4 linked regions of the Arabidopsis thaliana genome follow. The protein of the gene in region 1 interacts with the protein of each later gene in a biochemical or structural test. Each region holds a gene or a part of one and is shown in the gene's direction. Other genes may lie near its edges.

Region 1 (4,524 bases):
AGCTCACAAATTTTCCCTCTCAAAAAGTATAAGAGATCATGTGCAAATTACACTACTAAAGAGACAAATACTACTCCTTTTTAAAAGAACTTGAATTTAAGTACTTCTCTGTTTTTGAACAGGGGATGTTTACGCCATTCAAGAAGCTTGCAAAGCTACAAATGAAAGTGGAAGGTCTCCTATTTTCACTGGAGTCATGGCTTTTGTAATGGGTGTAGTCACCATGATTAGAGTGACTAAAAACGTTCCAAGGAAGCTAACCGAGTCAACTATATACTCTAGCCCGGTTTACTGCGACGAAAACTCGATGAACAAGAGCTCGATGCATGGGAAGAAAATGGCAACAACAACCATCTCAGGGGAAGATTTCATGGCGGTCATGAAACGAATGGCTGAGCTTGAGCAGAAAGTCACAAACTTGAGTGCACAGCCAGCAACTATGCCTCCTGAAAAGGAAGAGATGCTTAATGCTGCCATTAGCCGAGCCGATTTCTTGGAACAAGAACTTGCTGCAACCAAGAAGGTAACACAAAACAAAAAAAACTTTCATATATATTACTGATTTGTTCTCAGCTTTCACTATCTCACACTAAAGAGTTGTTGTATCTTCACAGGCTCTTGATGATTCTCTTACCCGACAAGAGGACCTTGTGGCATACGTTGAGAGAAAGAAGAAGAAGAAGAAGCTGGTCCGCTTTCAAATCAATGCCTACTTAACTAATTTTTGTTTTGGTGTTTAAAATGGTGTTCTGTTTTACTTTTTATCTCCATGTGCAGTTCACTTGGTAAGTGAGGAACATGAGGAAGAAGAAGCCTCTAGTGGAGTTAGAGGTGGCCAATGCACTCATGTCATTAACTTAAATCTTACAGTCACATTAAAATTAAGAGAATCTCCAAAGAAAGAATTTTGTTATGTCTCTGTATATATATATCATCCTTAGATGTTACCACTTATCCGCATCATATGCGAGATCATGTTTGATTTGTACAAAAGAAAACAATGAATTTATAAGAAATATATTTTGTAAAGTAGTTTTGTACAAAAGATTAGTGTGCAAACATTTTTAACATCAACGTATAAAATTCAAGTACACTTTATATAAACTAAATTACTAGGGTTGAAGATGAATTGGGGCTTGATGGTTTGGAGAGACAGAATCTTCGAAGATCTATGGAGAAACTCAAAGTTGATTGATAATCTGCGTTCGTCAACTGATAGGTTTACTCAACCATTTGCCACTCAAATTAGTTATGTCATCATCTGATGTTAAATCCATCAGCCACACTTATCCTTTTTTTAATCTAATCCTCAAACCTCTCCGAAAGAGACAGAAGGTCTTCAAACCAAGAGTGGTTTTGTAGTTGACCACTTTTTGAGGCTTTTAAGTTAGGTTTAACTACACCCAGTGGAAACTTCGGTTCGGACAACAACAAGAAGTTGCTCCCAATCTACGTTTACCACGTGTCACTTTTTCAGTCCACCCACGTGCTTAGCCGGTTACTTGATCCATTTAAATCCTCAATTTCTGTATTCGTGTACGTATATTATACCAAGACAAATTCTACTTAATAAATATCTTACTCAATCTTTTTAATTAATTACAAAAATTCCTATGCATTATTTTTTTCTAATTACCAAATATAGTAATAACAATCCTGATTTGTATGCAAAAAAAAAACATGAAGAGTCCATTAAACTTTAGAGATTTTTTAATTAAAGATAGTTTGTAACTGAAGTTTTGTTACACAAAAAATATCTAATCTAAAAAGAATGTCGTTTTCGTAATTAGAAGACTTTGTAATTTGTTTTTTTCCTAAAAAACGAAAAGAAGTAACCAAAGCTTCTTCATCAACCAACGTATTTTGCTTCCTTTCTTCTTCTTCTTCTTCCTCTTCCCCTAACATTCCATTCCCCGTATGGGTCTCACCACTTCCTAACTCTTCTCTCTCTTATCTCTTCTTGTTTTAGCTATGAAGAAGCAATCTCAATTCAGATCCAATCATACCCTTCTCTTCTTTCATCTCTGATCATTAACAACAACAACAACGACTCGGGTTCTGTAAATTCAGTTATTGGGTATGTTCGATCTCTTGTTCTGTTTCTTCTCTTTATTCATTTAGCTTGTTTTAACTCTTAATTTTTGAGTTTTGATTATGATTAATCAAGAGTTATCATATTAAAAAGAGAATTTTTATAACCAAAGTTTGCTTTTTTCTTATGGAGTAGTAAGATTGATAGCTAAGTAAAGGAAACGATATTAAAAAGAGAATTTTTCTTAGTTGAATTTCACTTTTTGGAGACGTAAAGGAGAAAAAAGCTTCAATGATTCATAAATCGAAAATTCTCTATAAACCCTTTTCCAAAATCTTACCAATTTAGGGGAAAAATACTGAAAGTTTTGGTTTTTGCAGAGAGAAAATGGCGATGTTAGTTGAGCCACCAAATGGGATTAAGCAACAAGGGAAACATTACTACTCCATGTGGCAAACATTGTTCGAAATCGATACAAAGTATGTTCCGATTAAACCCATTGGAAGAGGAGCTTATGGTGTGGTTTGTTCTTCTATCAATCGTGAGACTAATGAGAGAGTTGCTATTAAAAAGATTCACAATGTGTTTGAGAATCGTGTTGATGCTTTGAGAACGTTGAGGGAACTTAAACTTCTTAGGCATGTGAGGCATGAGAATGTGATCGCGCTTAAAGATGTTATGTTGCCTGCTAATAGATCCAGTTTCAAGGATGTTTATTTGGTTTATGAGCTAATGGATACTGATCTTCATCAGATTATTAAATCCTCTCAGTCTCTTTCTGATGATCACTGCAAGTACTTCTTGTTTCAGGTAACTTTAAGTCCTTCCTCGGTAACTCTATGTTTCGAGTTTTGTATGTTTAGTTATTGAAATAAGTCTTGTTCTTGTTGTTGTGTTTAGTTGCTTAGAGGGTTGAAGTATCTTCATTCTGCAAACATACTTCACCGGGATTTGAAGCCCGGGAACCTCTTAGTTAATGCGAACTGCGATCTCAAGATTTGTGATTTCGGGTTGGCGAGAACGAGCCAAGGTAATGAACAGTTCATGACTGAGTATGTGGTTACACGTTGGTACAGAGCACCTGAGCTTCTTCTTTGTTGTGATAACTATGGAACCTCCATTGATGTATGGTCGGTTGGTTGCATATTCGCGGAGATTCTTGGTAGGAAACCGATTTTTCCAGGAACAGAATGCTTGAATCAGCTTAAGCTAATCATCAACGTTGTTGGTAGCCAACAAGAATCTGATATTCGGTTCATAGACAACCCGAAAGCTCGAAGGTTTATAAAGTCTCTTCCGTACTCAAGAGGAACTCATCTCTCCAATCTTTATCCACAAGCCAATCCTCTAGCTATAGATTTGTTACAGAGGATGCTTGTGTTTGATCCAACCAAGAGAATCTCTGTAACCGATGCGCTCTTACACCCGTATATGGCGGGGTTGTTTGATCCTGGATCCAATCCGCCTGCACATGTCCCAATCTCTCTGGACATAGATGAAAACATGGAGGAACCAGTGATAAGAGAGATGATGTGGAATGAGATGCTTTATTACCACCCTGAAGCTGAAATCTCAAATGCCTAAATCAACATCAATGATCATTAAGAGTAAGCTTTTTCCAGTTTTTTTTTTTTTTGCTTTCTAAAATGCAGCTTTGATGTTATGTTATATATAGCGAGTCCACAAACGCGGGAACAGATCGATAAAAAGCCCGGTGCTTTGATCTCGTCTGGTTTGATTTAGTTGCAGTGAGTGAGTAGTAGTAACAGAGTTTGAAAAGTGGCTCTCAGTATCTTTACCACTTTGTAAATGTGACTGTTTGTTACTAAGTAAGTTAAGGCTTGTTTTTGTTACATTATCTTTGAGTTGATGAGTTTTACTACTGATTTTCAGGCCAACTCTTGTATTTTGTATAGCTTTGCCATTGCCCACTTGCTAGCCACACGAAATAATTTTTTATAGTTTAGATACTCTCATACTATAAAGTATAAACTAATAAAAGTATAGATGTTATTTTCTCTAGTTTTTATCCTACCTTTAAAAAGCCGCCAAACATGTTTTCAATTCATTATAAGGGAAGATTGGATAATGTGTCACTTCATATTTTTCGTTCTTTTTAGTACTACCAAAACAATTTCAGAATATATTAGTAATCTTATAAATAATGATCTAAGGAAGTGTGCTATTTTTTTCAGTTCCAATATGAAGACTAGTGTGTTTTAAAAATACTTTATTTTATAAGTGTATTTATTTCAAAGGTGAATTAGCTAAATAACCAATTCCTGAAAAGAAATTAAATATCTAGCACCATAAGTTGCCGAATTCAGAGAGTAACACATGAGGTGTGTGTAATGACAACACACTCTTTCACCACACACTCCTTCACCCAACTCTTTCATTCATGTTTAAGGCGCGTGAAGAAAACAGAAGTGTAGTGAATTATGCTGACGTGGTCTTTTAAGGAACAATAAAAGTTTAAGTTATGTTGAGAA
Region 2 (4,418 bases), on another chromosome or scaffold:
CAAAGTCATTCCACTGCAAAATCCAGTCGAAACATATCGAAGTTGGCATCAAAGGCAACCCTCCCTATCTCAATGTCAGTTTCTTTCGCTATCTTTCAATGTTTTTGATCCGTTTGTCTCATAAATCTGAGTTATTCGATGTGGTATATATAACTCGATTCAATTGTCTAAATTTTGTCAATTTTCAGCACGATCTTAGTGCTCCTGTGAAGACTGATTGCTCGTTCTGGACTCTAGGTACTCCATTTTTTGTTTTTGTGTCTGTATTGGGTGCTTGTTTTTGATGGTTAGGTTTCTGTTTTTAGACCCGTTCACTATTGCTAGAGAGGATAAACTGAACCTGGAAATGTGATCTGAGTTTGGTATAAATAGTGGGACATATAGTTTGGAATGTGGAAAATTTGAGACTAATGGAGGGATGATGGAATGTACAGTATATTTTGGGTTATATTATCAGCGTATGTAAGTTACTGGCATAGTTTTTTTAGGTTCATAGTCTGGCACTGATTGCTAATCTGGATTGTTATGTTTGATTTGGCAGAGGATGATATAATGCACATTACCCTGCAGAAGAGGGAGAAAGGGCAAACATGGGCATCACCGATTCTGGGACAGGGTCAGTTAGATCCTTACGCCACTGATCTTGAGCAGAAGCGGCTCATGCTCCAGAGGTTTCAAGAAGAGGTTAGCTACCTGTAAAAGTCCTCTTGGTTTCATATGGTTTCTGCTTTTGAAAAAATAAATGTTGTTTTCTAGGTCTTCTAATTGATCTCCAAAGCAAATCTTAGGCACCACTACTGAGTAGAATGAATCTATGTCAAAGTATGATTACTTTGCCATAAATGATCGTTTTGGATGAGTCATGTCCCATGATTGTTTTCTTTGTTCAAGCTCTCTTATTTTGTTTCTTATGTCTCTCTCAAGTAGTGAATCTTTTGTGTTCATGGATAAACAGTCTGCATAGAGCTGGTGATAGTAAACCTATAGTGTAGCCGGATTTTTATCAGTTTCATGAATAAACAGTCTGCATAGAGCTGGTGATAGTAAAGCTATGGTGGATGAAATTGCTCAGCCTTAGTCTAACCGGATTGAGCAAATTAACATGGCAAGACTGCACACATGGGTGTGATTCATGTATGCCTTAATGGCTTTGTCTTATTGGTTTTGTTTCTGCTTGTATGCATGAGTTTCTATTTACTTTGTATTGAGCTCAAGTATGCTTTTCTTTACTCTTTCGACCAACTTTCCTTTTACATGTTCTTTCTCTGTTGGTTTTTGCAGAACCCGGGATTCGACTTCTCGCAAGCTCAGTTCTCGGGTAATTGTCCAGATCCAAGGAGCTTCATGGGCGGTATTCGTTCTGACTAAATAAATAATAGTCCCACTCTTGTTGCTATAATAGTATGTCCATTATAACAAACTCAAAAGTCACCATGACTTAAACAAAATGTCTCATGTCTCATAAATAAACCCCCTGACTCTCTGTTTCTATAACTCGTAATGGCAATCATATAAATCGTCTTTCGTCTCTGTTTAGTTGTCCTTTTCTTCCCGACAACAGAATCGGAGCATCTACTAAAAGTCCACTGAGCCGCCGTGCGCTTCGAATCTTGTTTTGGTATGTGACAGCTTTTTCAAAAAGAAATTGTCTTGGATAAGTGGAGGAGAATAAGGAATTCGAACAAAATAAAATTGGAGAAAAATGATCATATTCTCTATTTTATTATTTAACATCATTTTATTTCGGTTACAAAAAAAAAAAGGAGGAAAATTAGGCGCGCGTCATCTCCCTCGCGACACATATATCATAAGACAGAGAGCAGGGAACGAATCTCAAGACGTTACGTATTAGCTTATAGCCATTAGTTTTGTCTCTTCTTCTTCTTCTCGTTGGTCGGCTTCTTCGTCTTACTAATTCCATGATTCTTCTTCTTCCTTCTGCTTCACTTTCTCGATGATCCTCTGCACCAGCCGCGATCATGACGTTGAATCCTCCTCCGTCGCAGCAAACGTCTCACTCGCCGCGTCGGATTCCCAATCGCCGCGTTCTCATCGTCGGAAATTATTGCCACGACGTTTTAATCCAAAACGGATCCGTCGTAGCTGAAACTCTCGGCGGCGCCGCCTCTTTCATATCTAATGTCTTAGATTCTTCCTCTGTCTCCTGCGATTTGGTCTCCAAAGTAGGACACGACTTCAGATACGAGGTCACCCACTCTCCGATCGTGGCTCCGGAGAAGGAAACAACAGTTTTCGAGGCGTATTTCGATCTGGGAATCGATGGGATCGGTCATGCTGATCGGGTGTTGAAAAGAGTCTCTGCATGTGATCCGATTCTTCCTTCGGATATACCCGATTCGAGATTTGATTTCGGAATGGCCGTTGGAGTCGGCGGCGAGATTTTACCGGAGACGCTTGAGAAAATGGTGGAGATCTGTGACGTTGTTGCTGTGGATATTCAAGCTTTGATTAGGGTTTTTGATCCTGTTGACGGAGCTGTGAAGCTTGTTGATTTGAAAGAAAGTGGATTTTATCACATCTTGCATCGAATTGGATTCTTGAAAGCTTCGTCAGACGAAGCTCTTTTCATGGATGTTGAACAAATGAAGCACTTGTGTTGTGTGGTGGTGACTAATGGTGAAAAAGGGTGTAGGATTTATCATAAGGATGATGAAATGACGGTTCCTCCGTTCTTGGCGAAGCAGGTGGATCCTACCGGTGCCGGAGACAGCTTTCTCGGAGGTTTGATTGTTGGGCTTGTTGAAGGTTTGACTGTTCCTGATGCTGCATTGTTAGGGAACCTCTTTGGTTCCATCACTGTAGAGCATATTGGTCAGCCAAAGTTCGATTTGATGATGCTTCAGGTTTGTTTTTTGGTCTCGTATTAGCTTACTGAATTGCATGCTGTGAGAGATTTGCAAATCTAATAGACAGTAGTAAGAACTTTTAGAGCCGATGATAGTGATATGCAAATGTCTTTAACATAATCCTAGCAAAAGAACTCTGTTACATCTTGCAGCTTACTTTCAATACAGCCAAACCTATATCTTGCGGGTGAACTAGAATCTGTATTTGATGTTGATAGGTTTCCAATCTGAAAATGTGTCAAATCTTCACAGTTGTTGTTTGAGATTCTGTCGAGTCACAGCTGCTGAGAGAGTCTTTTCTTGTTTTACTTCATTGTTAATCTAGGAGCAGTTTCATTCAACATAGGGTAGATGCAGGAAAAAGTGTTGTTTAAGCATTCACCGAACAATGTGGTTAAGCAATTAGAGAATTCAAAAGTATGGATCTCTTGATGTATTTGCGAGTGTTTCTGTGTATCTCTTGTAGTTGTATCTGTTGAAATGAGGGCGTTATTGGATAATAATTGAACCATTGGCTAGTGCAAGTGAACATTAAGCAAATTAGAAGATTTATAGCGTTTGTGTTTGCACTGCACAAGGATTCATCCCTTTCATCGGTTATTTCTATGTGACATATGTCTTTGTGATTTGCAGAAAGTCAAGGATGAGGTACAGAGAAGGAAGAAGCAGTGTAACATATCTAGCAGCCATAACAACGATCACAACGAGTTCCATGAGCGTCTAAGTCCAGCTCGGTTTTCATGCGTAGACTCTCAACTTCAACCAAAGTTATTGGTCAATGGTCACTCTTGTGATGATCGGTCCCTGTGAATACGAATCTTGAATCACCTTTTTTTTACTAACAAAGCTCTTCTGAGTTGTGTAAGCTTGCTTCAACACGTTGATGAATTTTGGAAATTTTAATGTATAAAACGCGTTGACCAGCGTCTTCAAACGCTCTTTCTGGTCGTTCCCGCAAAGTTTGTTTATCAACTCCGCGTTTCAAAATTCGAAATGAAGATGTCAAATTTTGTTTTAAAAGTTTTGGATAAGATGATTTGCTATTCGCATGTTGCCACATTATCTAGTTAATATAAAAACCAAAAACAAATCTGAGATAAAATTACGAAAGTCAACGTGGGAGATCTAATTTTGACTGGTGCATAGTTGAACCGGTTCAATATATGTACAATCAGGAGGAAACCGTGTTCGGTGTTTGATTCGTGCGCGTGGATTTAAAACGTGGTCACGATCAGGCGCGTGGATTGACGTGGCGATTCCGATTCCCAATCAAAAGTCTGGACGAGCAAAAAATTTCCTCTGATATTGGCATCTCCATTACTAACTCCTGATTTACGGTTAAAACGCCTCTTCCCTCTCTCCGACGCTTCTCGTCGGAAATCTGGGTTTAAGTTTCTTCTGCAGATCGGAAGAGATTCTATTGAAGCGGCGTTGACACGATTTCATCTATAATTGTACGATAATGAAGCAGAAGAACCAGCATAAGAAGAAGAAGAAGCGATCCTGCGCCGCGAAACCTTCCGGTGATGGAACGACGTCGGACGGGAACAA
Region 3 (4,616 bases), on another chromosome or scaffold:
GAAGAAGCTGGTTTTACAATGTCAAGAATGACTGATATTCACGGTAATGAAGAAACAAACGAGGAAGAAGAAGATATCTGGGAGGAGGATGATGGCAAGGTTAAAACTGATTCAGTCAAGAACGTGGCTCATGTGATGAGAACTCAGCAGAGTGAGAATTCATCTTTACCATCATCAGGTGAAGCAAAGAAGTCTACATCAGAAGCTAGGTCCAATAAAGTGTCGAACACTAAAAAAGTTGGAAGCAGTGGAAACTCTCTTAGAGACAAGCTAATTTCTGAAGCGCCTGTGATGAATTGGGGATCACAGTTGACTAATTGGGAATCAACTACGGAAGTTCGAGCTAATTACCGGGGTTTAGAGATCGAGAGCCACTGGGGCAGGGTGGATCAAGATGCTATAATTCCAGCAGATAAAATAGCAGAATTGAATCTTCAGGCAACCGTGTATAGAGAAGAGAGAACAGAGACACCTCCATGCCGTGCTTCTCTAAAGAAAGGTGGTCTTTGCCAGAGAAGAGATCTCAGAGTCTGTCCGTTTCACGGACCCATTGTACCCCGGGATGATGAAGGAAACACCATAATCCAGGAATCTCCATTAGATGAGAGTGAAAACCAAACTTCTTCAACTTCAGGGACCAACCAGGATGTGTCTATGGATGAAACAACTTCAGATTCTGATCCTAATCAGTTAGCTAGGCAAATAGCGAAAGAGGCTCTGAAGAATATCCGGGAGAAAGACAAAGAAGTGGTGAGGAAAAGAGCAAAGCTTGTTAAGGTTAAGGTTAAGGAACACAATCATGAAGTTCTGCGTGGTGCGGCAATAGCCTCAACTTCTAGATCGAATGCTATGGATGATGAGTTTGATAGAGTTTTTGCTGAAAAGAAAAACAAGAAGCAAACCTTTTCCACAAGGCGTAAGAAAACAACGGCTAAAGATAGAATATCCCAGAGACTGTTTAGTAATCGAGTAAAAGGTACTAATCCACAGCAGTTGGCTCAGGGCAATGATGAAAAGTGCCGGGATACATCGGCTAACCAGTGGTAACAAATAACTAAAATCTTTCTAGTTTTGATCCAGTAGTGCCTTAAATTTGATTGTTTGATGCAAATAGGAGTAAAAAGCTAAAGAATATTTGATGAATGAATAATCAGATCCGCTTGTGATCTCTTGTAGCTGTGAAAACAGTTCTTAAGTCAAGTCCCAGATTCTTTGAAGCTTTATATTTTTCTCAGACAAAAGTCACAAAACCCAACAGAAAGATAATAGTACAATTGACATGTTCTGTTAAAAAGCAACGACAGATCATTGAAGCTGGATGGATCGTTGTTGTTCGCTTTTTTCTTTTTCTTTTATGTGGTGTGTTTAAGGATGATATCACTCATGAGACCGATCACTGATGAGAAGCAATTATTAATTGAATAATTTGCTTTTAAGATTGTGAGAGTTTGCTTGAGATGAAGAAGAGTAAAATGTTCATTTACATTATCATTGGTCTTTGAAGTGACTTTGAACCCAAGCCACATCCCATTACTTATTATTCCTCTTATGAATTTCATATTCTTAAACCGTCTAATTTTACCTAAATACATCTCTTAAAGTTTTTGTTAAAGTAAACAGAAAGATGAGCATGTTTTTCATGAATCTTTGAATTTAGCTGTCATTTTAGAAGTTGAAAATCATTTTTCTTGTACAAAGGAAAAGAAATTGTTTGAATTAAAAGTAAAAAAAGAACACACAATAATGATAGACAGAATCCCACTAGAGAGAAAAACATCTAGAATAAAAAAAAAGAAGCAATCATGTGCACCATGTACATATTTAGGCCCATCTCTACTGGATCATGGCCCTTTAATTAAAAACAAAGAAATCATTGAGTGAGAGAGGATATACTGTACGTATATTATTAGAATATGATTATTTTTCCCCTATCCAGTAAATTCTTCTGAATCTCTTATAATTCAATTTGTTTCCAAATAACATTCTCTCTTTAACACAGCCGCCTTTGTGACCGTCCGATCTTAAATCAGCGTTTCCGGTTCATTTGACGGCAACTATCTCTCTCTCTCTCTCTAGAGAATTGATGAAGAAGAGCATCTATCTTTTTTGTTTTTGAAAATTAACAACACTTCACGAGGGTTGACCTGTTTCGGTGGTGTTTCTTCAATTCCGGATTTTGATCTTTCGTTTCGATCGAAGATCAATCAAAGTCTCCACCTTTCTTCAATGGATTTGGATAGCATGGACTGTACATCAACCATGGATGTGACAGATGATGAAGAGATCCACCAAGATCGCCATTCCTACGCTTCTGTTTCCAAGCATCATCATACTAATAACAACACCACCAACGTTAATGCTGCTGCTTCTGGGCTTCTCCCTACCACCACCAGTGTTCATGAGCTTCTCGAATGTCCTGTCTGCACCAATTCTATGTACCCTCCCATTCATCAGGTCTTTCTTTTCAATCCCTTGTTCTCTGATTTCGTTTCCCCGGATCTTTAATTTGTTGATTTTGTTTAGGGTTTTGAGTTAATGATGTGAATCATGGATGTTGAAGCAGTGGTTGTGTTGCTCTTGTAACTTGAAATTTAGTTTTATCCATTCACTAATGGCTACAATTGAAACAATTGTCACTAAATTTTGTCAATAGCTTTGATAGTTTCTAAGATTCTTCTTATTGTTTCTTTAGAGAATTATGGAATAACAGATAGACAATTATTTGATTTCCCTACAGTGTCACAATGGACATACGTTGTGTTCAACCTGTAAAGCCAGGGTTCACAACCGCTGCCCAACTTGTAGACAAGAGCTCGGTGATATCCGTTGTTTGGCACTGGAAAAAGTAGCCGAATCACTTGAACTACCTTGTAAACACATGTCACTTGGATGTCCTGAAATCTTCCCTTATTACAGTAAGCTCAAACATGAGACTGTATGTAACTTCAGACCTTATAGCTGCCCTTATGCTGGATCCGAGTGTTCTGTTACGGGCGATATCCCTTTCTTAGTTGCTCATCTGAGGGATGATCATAAGGTGGATATGCATTCTGGGTGTACTTTCAACCATCGTTATGTCAAGTCTAATCCTCGTGAAGTCGAAAACGCCACATGGATGTTAACTGTAAGTACATATGAATCGTGCTTCATAGTATACACTTAGATAAGTTAGGAGGCTTTGTTTAAAGTAATAGGATTATATTTGTGATAAAATTTGATCTGTCTGGTATAAACTGTAATGTGATCAGCTGAGTCAAATTTTGCTTTTGTTGCGAGTTAGCTTTCCTAGAGAAGGTCCAGTTATTTATCTAATCTATGGTTGTGAATTGTGAATCTTCCATCTCGCTATACATGTTGACTTGATATACTTTAATGCTTATCAAGGTTTCCTCTGTTTTGGTTTTGTTTCTGGTTCAAAAATGAAAATCAGGTCTTTCACTGCTTCGGTCAATACTTCTGTCTTCACTTTGAGGCATTCCAGCTCGGAATGGCTCCAGTCTACATGGCGTTCCTGCGTTTCATGGGGGACGAGACAGAAGCTCGAAACTACAATTACAGTTTAGAAGTGGGAGGTTATGGTCGGAAGCTGATATGGGAAGGAACACCAAGAAGCGTAAGAGACAGCCACAGGAAAGTTAGAGACAGTCATGATGGACTAATTATACAAAGAAACATGGCTCTCTTCTTCTCAGGTGGAGATAGGAAAGAGCTGAAACTTCGAGTCACTGGAAGGATATGGAAAGAGCAACAACAAAGTGGTGAAGGTGGAGGAGCTTGTATCCCAAACTTGTCTTGAAAATTAAAAAAAAAAAATCAAACTGATTTTGAAAACCTCACCGATTTGGCCTTGTCTCTGTAACCATGGTTATCTGTAATTAGGGTTTTCTCTGACGATAAACTTGGGGTTGTTCTTATGTATCTCTCTCTGTCTTTCTCATGTCATGGAGGTTTTTTTATTATAAAATATATAGTTCATTACAATTCTGCTATATCTGGAGGAAAAACGTAAAATGTTGAACCTTTTACTTTTATCAACTGTAGTGTTCATAAATTTATGTAATGCTTGTGTTGTGTCCACGAAACGACGACGTTTCATCATTGTTCTGTTAAACCCAGCTTTTGGAACTTGGAAGTGATGAGCTTTATATCTGGAAAATGTAAAATGTTGAACCTTTTTTCAACTGTAGTGTTGTTCAAAGGCGTTAGCTTTGTTTAAGAAACGACGACGTTTCATCATTGTTCTGTTAAACCCAGCTTTTGGGGGTTTTCTCACTCGGAAGTGAGCTTTATCCCTTTGGTTTCCATCAATGGAGGTTCTACTAAACTCCAATGATGGTTTCTTCAATTTCTCGTCTTTCTCGTCCAATTCGAACAGGAGACTCGCTAACCAACGTCGATTCAACTTGCCCATCTCCAAATTCCACTACTATCGCGTTTCAATTCTCCGAGTCTCGGCTCGGTTCGGAGAGACCTCGAGGCGACGTAATTCGCTGAGGAAGAAGATCATCGGTGATGAGTATTGGCGTTCGACTCCGAAATCTTCTGAACCAGGTACGAAACCTCTAAACGAAAGCCATAAGTTTGGTCACTGTGATGATTTAAGTAGCACCGAGGGA
Region 4 (5,211 bases), 5.5 Mb from region 1:
GCCAAATTTTGTAACCGTTTTTTAATGCGTTACTATTAGTACAAAGGCTTACTTTTGGGAACCTTCTGCTATAGAAACGAGGTGCAGAACTGGTGGCACTTGAGGGAAGATCTAGGCAAGTTTGGGAAAACGTGTGGTCTGATTCTTGCTTGGACTTACACCTCATGTCTTCTGGAGCTGCACGTGCAATGGTCCATGCGTGGCTACTAAACATACGCTCCATTGTCTATGAAGGTCATGAGTTACCTAAAGTCTTGAGGTAAGCTACAAAGAGCTCTTCGGTTTAACTATCAACTTAAACCGGCCTATAATACCCGGCTCTTTTCCTTTTATGGTTGCTTCCTAAAACTCCATCAGGGCCCGAGAATTAAGTCCAATCTCTTCTTTTCCGAAATCTGATATGCAGCATGTCCTTGATGATGCTATGTTTTCTTGTGATAGGTTGAAGTTTTTGGTCATACACTATGATTATAGTGTCTCTGTAGATACTTTGCTTATGTGATGTGGTCATGTTTCGCAAATCTTTTGTGATCCCCTCAACTTTTATCACTATCTGGGTTAGTTCAAAACTTGTTAATAACTTTTTCTTATTGTGGCAGTATATTGACTGGCTGGGGGAAACACAGCAAAGTGGTTGGAGACGGAGCACTAAGACGAGCGGTTGAAGTTCTTTTGAGGGGAATGGATGCACCATTCCACCTGTCAAAATGCAACATGGGACGGTTCACATCAAGCGGTTCGGTGGTAGCAACTTGGCTGCGTGAATCAGCCACACTGAAACTCTTAATCCTCCATGACCACATAACAACCGCCACAGCTACTACTACAACAATGAAATCAACAGACCAACAACAACGGAAACAGACGTCGTTTGCTTTACAGCCTCTTCTTTTGTAGCTTAGTGTATGATGTAAAAGTAAAACAATTTGTGTTGATCATTAAAGTGTATAGGACCAATGGTCCTAACAATGTTTGGCTCTGTGCTAATATTTGTAACAAAGCAACTCGATTGATTATGTGAAAATCGTTTTGTCTTTTTCTTTTCTTAAAGATATGTAAGAATAAATATTTTAAAGCAAATCTCGAGATTTATTAGAAACAAAAAAGGATTATTTACATTAAACAGAGAAAATCTCTATTGACATTGGCCGTTTCGTGATCCGTTGCTGGTTTTATGGAAACTAAACAGAGGAATCCACAGGTTTTCGAAAGTAAACCAGTTTGATTATAAATAGTTCAACTTGTCAACAACACCCCAGTGACGCTTCAGTTACTTATTTAACGTGATTTTTTCACCCGTCGGTAAAAAAATAAATATCATTCTTGACTTTACTTTATTTCTATGTTAGATGACACATATTTATTTCATTACTTTCTTACCAAAAGGCAAAACCCACAATCGAGTTAAACTTCCACTGTAATGGACCTAATGGTTGCAATTGTCTATCCACACACATCTACTACGTTTCTCACTAGAACAATCACCTACAAATTTCATGGTAAATTCTTCTATACAGTTAAAAGTAAAACACTCGAATAAATATTTTCCATAACACGTGAGAGTATCTTGTTGGTGTTTTGTCATTATCCTCTTAACCTGACACCAAATTTGTAGTAAGTTTATTTTTTACGCAACATATTATTGACTACTATATTCATACACGATTTTTTTATTTTATTTTTCGGATCAAATCAAATACTCAGGCAAAGGTCGAAAAACGTTAAAAGATTTTTTCATTTTATTAAAAAAACCACAGAAACTCATGGTTTTTTTTACGAGATATATTTGTATCTTATATAATAAAATACGTTAATAATATATCAGTAGCAAGCCTTTGTACACCAGTCCCATCGTTCTCTATATAAACCATTCTTCTCCTTCCTCTCATTTTTATGTATTCTTCTCCTTGTCCTTCCTTACTCTCTATATTTTTCTCAATTCTCCGATTTGATCCAACGATTTCACAGATCTCTGATCTAAATGGCATCCAACGGTGATAAAGGACTGATCGTTAGCTTCGGCGAGATGCTAATCGATTTCGTCCCTACCGAATCAGGCGTCTCTCTCGCCGAAGCTCCTGGATTCCTCAAAGCTCCAGGCGGTGCTCCCGCTAACGTCGCAATCGCTGTTTCTCGTCTCGGTGGACGATCTGCTTTCGTCGGAAAACTTGGAGACGACGAGTTCGGTCATATGTTGGCTGGGATTTTGAGGAAGAACGGTGTTGATGATCAGGGGATTAACTTCGATACTGGAGCTAGAACTGCTTTAGCTTTCGTTACGTTACGTGCTGATGGAGATCGTGAGTTTATGTTTTACCGCAATCCTAGCGCCGATATGCTTCTTCGTCCTGATGAACTCAATCTCGACCTCATCAGATCCGTACGTTTTAAATCTCTCTCTCTTCGCTATAGATTTTTACGATTTTGGGATTGTAGAAAGCCAGATCTAGAGGATTTTTAGTTTAAATTTTCTGGGAAACGCAGAAACGAAATTCGATTAGGAGTGTTAGTTATTGGGAATCGCGTTATTGAATTTAGAAAACGTAGAAGATGATCTCACTCACTGGCGGTGACTTTTCTCTTAGATCTTTTTTATTTTCGCGGGTCTTATTTAGATCCACGTGATACCACGTGATTTCTCCAATTTCTTCATCTTTCAGTTTTTACCCAAAACAACTTCAAATTAAAAGGCTATAACCTTTTTGGCCGTGTAGTTAACCATCACCATCTTAGCTCAATTCTAGTGACATGTTTCCCTTGAGTAGTTTTTTTACTGAGCTTAATATGTGTTCTTCTTATTGATCTATATTAAAGTCTTGAGTATTTTTAGGTTTATGATGTGAATATGTGATTAAAAGTAAATGTGCACATATACGTGTAAAGTTTGGTTTTTTATAGCAATGGTGTGAAATGATGCCAGGTTGAGTATTTTTGTGTACATTTACCTTTACAGCTAATTTCATGGCGAGGATCTTTTGCTTTTCTTGTATAGTTTGATAATGATTGACCCTTGTCGTAGTTAATATTCAAAACATAAACCACAATTGGGTCCCTTGACAATTATATTCCTTATGATCTAAGTTGTGTTATTTTGTGAGTTGTTTTTGGTACCAACCTTGGTTTTGTTTTTTTCTGTTATTTTGACGTTTTTGTGTCCCATGATGTGGTGTGTTTTTGTGTAGGCGAAAGTGTTTCACTATGGATCAATAAGTTTGATAGTGGAGCCGTGTAGGTCAGCTCATTTGAAGGCCATGGAAGTGGCGAAAGAAGCAGGAGCTCTTCTTTCCTATGACCCAAACCTCAGGGAGCCTCTGTGGCCATCAAAAGAAGAAGCCAAAACACAGATCATGAGCATTTGGGACAAAGCTGAGATCATCAAGGTGAGCGATGTTGAGCTTGAGTTTCTAACTGGAAGCAACAAGATTGATGATGAGACCGCGTTGACCTTGTGGCATCCCAACTTGAAGCTGTTGTTAGTCACTCTTGGTGAAAAGGGCTGTCGGTATTACACCAAGGTAACAAACACACTTGAATATTTTTATGCATTTACCGTCATCATTCATCATTATCACCATTATTATCAGTATCATCAGCATAGTTGTCTCTTGGTTATGCTTTGTTTGTTGTGTCCATTAGGTGATACCAGAAGGCAAAACTAGTGTGTTATAGAATATAGTTTCAGGATTGCTTTTATGTTAACATCTTTTTAAAATAGGATTCTCGAGATACACAAGGTATTTGAATACTGCTGCTGGAATCAATTCTTCAACTTTGATTAAATTATTAGTGGGTTTTTTAGTAGGTTTGGTAGATCTCACCAACTGATGAATAAGAAATTTAATATTAGCCGTGGACCCTCCAAAAGATTAATACTATTCTAATCAATTAAGGGGTACAGCAAAAGTCGTGATCTCTAAGGTTCTTGGTTTAATCAAACATGACAAATGTTAATGTCAAGAAAGGGGAGTTACTTTTGCTTTTCTCATTTGCCGAATCACATGCTATTTTTTTTACTTCTTTACGGCAGTTACTCTGTGACCTTCCACAAAAATATGTTTCTCTTCTTATATGTTCTTACCAAATTGTGTAGACTTTCAAAGGAGCCGTTGACCCTTTCCATGTGAACGCTGTGGACACAACCGGAGCTGGAGATTCCTTTGTCGGTGCTCTTCTAAACCAGATTGTCGATGATCGATCCGTTCTCGAGGTATGATATTCGAAAGAAGCATCCAATTAATCAATGTGCATTCATTGGATGAATCTTTCTTAGCTACAAGATATATATATAGGTTCTAACTTCAATATCTAATGACTTGTTGGGTTTATTTGAACAGGACGAAGAGAGATTGAGGAAAGTGCTGAGATTCGCAAATGCTTGTGGAGCAATCACAACGACCAAAAAAGGAGCCATTCCAGCTCTTCCCTCAGATGCTGAAGTTCGGAGCTTTCTCGAAAAGAAATAGAAACAAAACAACTCAAGCTTCTATTACGTAATCTGTTTCCGCGATTATCTTCTCTTTTTGTATTCTTGTTTTCGGATGGTTGAATCGAGAAGAGAAACAAATTCGGCATTCCGCTCTGTTTTTGTTTCTCTTCTTCAAATGTAATGATTTAGAAAAGACGTATGTTGCAATTTAAGGCTTCACTTGCTAATAAAATGATAAGGTTTTTCCAAGTTTTAGCCTGCTACTTACAGTGATACACATATCAGATCATGGAGAAAGCAAGGCGAAGAGCCGAAGACTATGCGAATCAAGTGCTATATATTATAAAGCTTAGTAGATTCATCCATAGTTTAGCCTAGGTCGGGGACTAGGAAGTGCTCTTCTTCATCATCATACCGGTACTCAAGCCTCTGCTTCTTGTTGGGTACATTGGACTTCATAGGTCTGTTGTAGGAATGAGCATGAGCCAAATGTGAAAAGGAAAGCTCGGGAACTTCGGCTACCGGTAGAGCCTCTTGATCAGGCTGGTCACCAAACAGACCCATCTCTGCAAGCCAATCCAGCTCCCCGAGATCGAGTTGCTCTTTCTCCTAATGTACAACAAGTGATTTATATAGTTGTCAAAACAAGTTACAAACCAGGATATTTGAGTATTCATCAGTTTGGTAAACCAGTTCTCACCTTATTACTGCAGTCAAGATCAGAGTAGCTGAAGAATTCATCGGTAGCCCACAAAGGAGATGGAGCAGCGGGTTGCTGAGTTGGC

Evidence for each region.
Region 2: of the proteins of MPK7 (region 1) and Mik, one has a biochemical effect on the other in vitro, tested with the Arabidopsis thaliana proteins (one large-scale study listed by BioGRID).
Region 3: of the proteins of MPK7 (region 1) and AT3G61790, one has a biochemical effect on the other in vitro, tested with the Arabidopsis thaliana proteins (one large-scale study listed by BioGRID).
Region 4: of the proteins of MPK7 (region 1) and AT2G31390, one has a biochemical effect on the other in vitro, tested with the Arabidopsis thaliana proteins (one large-scale study listed by BioGRID).

Annotation. Positions count from the first base shown.
Region 1 is NC_003071.7:7,907,270-7,911,793, reverse strand, and holds MPK7 (MAP kinase 7), read left to right. Parts: upstream 1-1,753; 5' UTR 1,754-2,077; intron 2,078-2,412; 5' UTR 2,413-2,419; coding exon 2,420-2,842; intron 2,843-2,932; coding exon 2,933-3,616; 3' UTR 3,617-4,020; downstream 4,021-4,524. Other genes in the region: AT2G18180 (Sec14p-like phosphatidylinositol transfer family protein), read left to right, coding at 1-26, 123-523, 615-740. UniProt on the Arabidopsis thaliana protein: MKK3-MPK7 module acts as a positive regulator of PR1 gene expression.
Region 2 is NC_003076.8:23,722,886-23,727,303, reverse strand, and holds Mik (pfkB-like carbohydrate kinase family protein), read left to right. Parts: upstream 1-1,718; 5' UTR 1,719-1,979; coding exon 1,980-2,864; intron 2,865-3,500; coding exon 3,501-3,677; 3' UTR 3,678-3,900; downstream 3,901-4,418. Other genes in the region: AT5G58740 (HSP20-like chaperones superfamily protein), read left to right, coding at 1-74, 189-237, 542-684, 1,282-1,368; AT5G58720 (smr (Small MutS Related) domain-containing protein), read left to right, coding at 4,330-4,418. UniProt on the Arabidopsis thaliana protein: Kinase that phosphorylates myo-inositol to produce multiple myo-inositol monophosphates. Participates in phytic acid biosynthesis in developing seeds. Phytic acid is the primary storage form of phosphorus in cereal grains and other plant seeds.
Region 3 is NC_003074.8:22,871,154-22,875,769, reverse strand, and holds AT3G61790 (Protein with RING/U-box and TRAF-like domain), read left to right. Parts: upstream 1-1,936; 5' UTR 1,937-2,226; coding exon 2,227-2,454; intron 2,455-2,737; coding exon 2,738-3,124; intron 3,125-3,430; coding exon 3,431-3,796; 3' UTR 3,797-4,073; downstream 4,074-4,616. Other genes in the region: AT3G61800 (ENTH/VHS protein), read left to right, coding at 1-1,047; emb1703 (embryo defective 1703), read left to right, coding at 4,308-4,616. UniProt on the Arabidopsis thaliana protein: E3 ubiquitin-protein ligase that mediates ubiquitination and subsequent proteasomal degradation of target proteins.
Region 4 is NC_003071.7:13,382,887-13,388,097, reverse strand, and holds AT2G31390 (pfkB-like carbohydrate kinase family protein), read left to right. Parts: upstream 1-1,705; 5' UTR 1,706-1,981; coding exon 1,982-2,380; exon of another isoform or gene 2,381-3,182; coding exon 3,183-3,515; exon of another isoform or gene 3,516-4,090; coding exon 4,091-4,207; intron 4,208-4,334; coding exon 4,335-4,463; 3' UTR 4,464-4,675; downstream 4,676-5,211. Other genes in the region: GUN1 (s uncoupled 1), read left to right, coding at 75-259, 600-897; STH (salt tolerance homologue), read right to left, coding at 4,796-5,035, 5,127-5,211.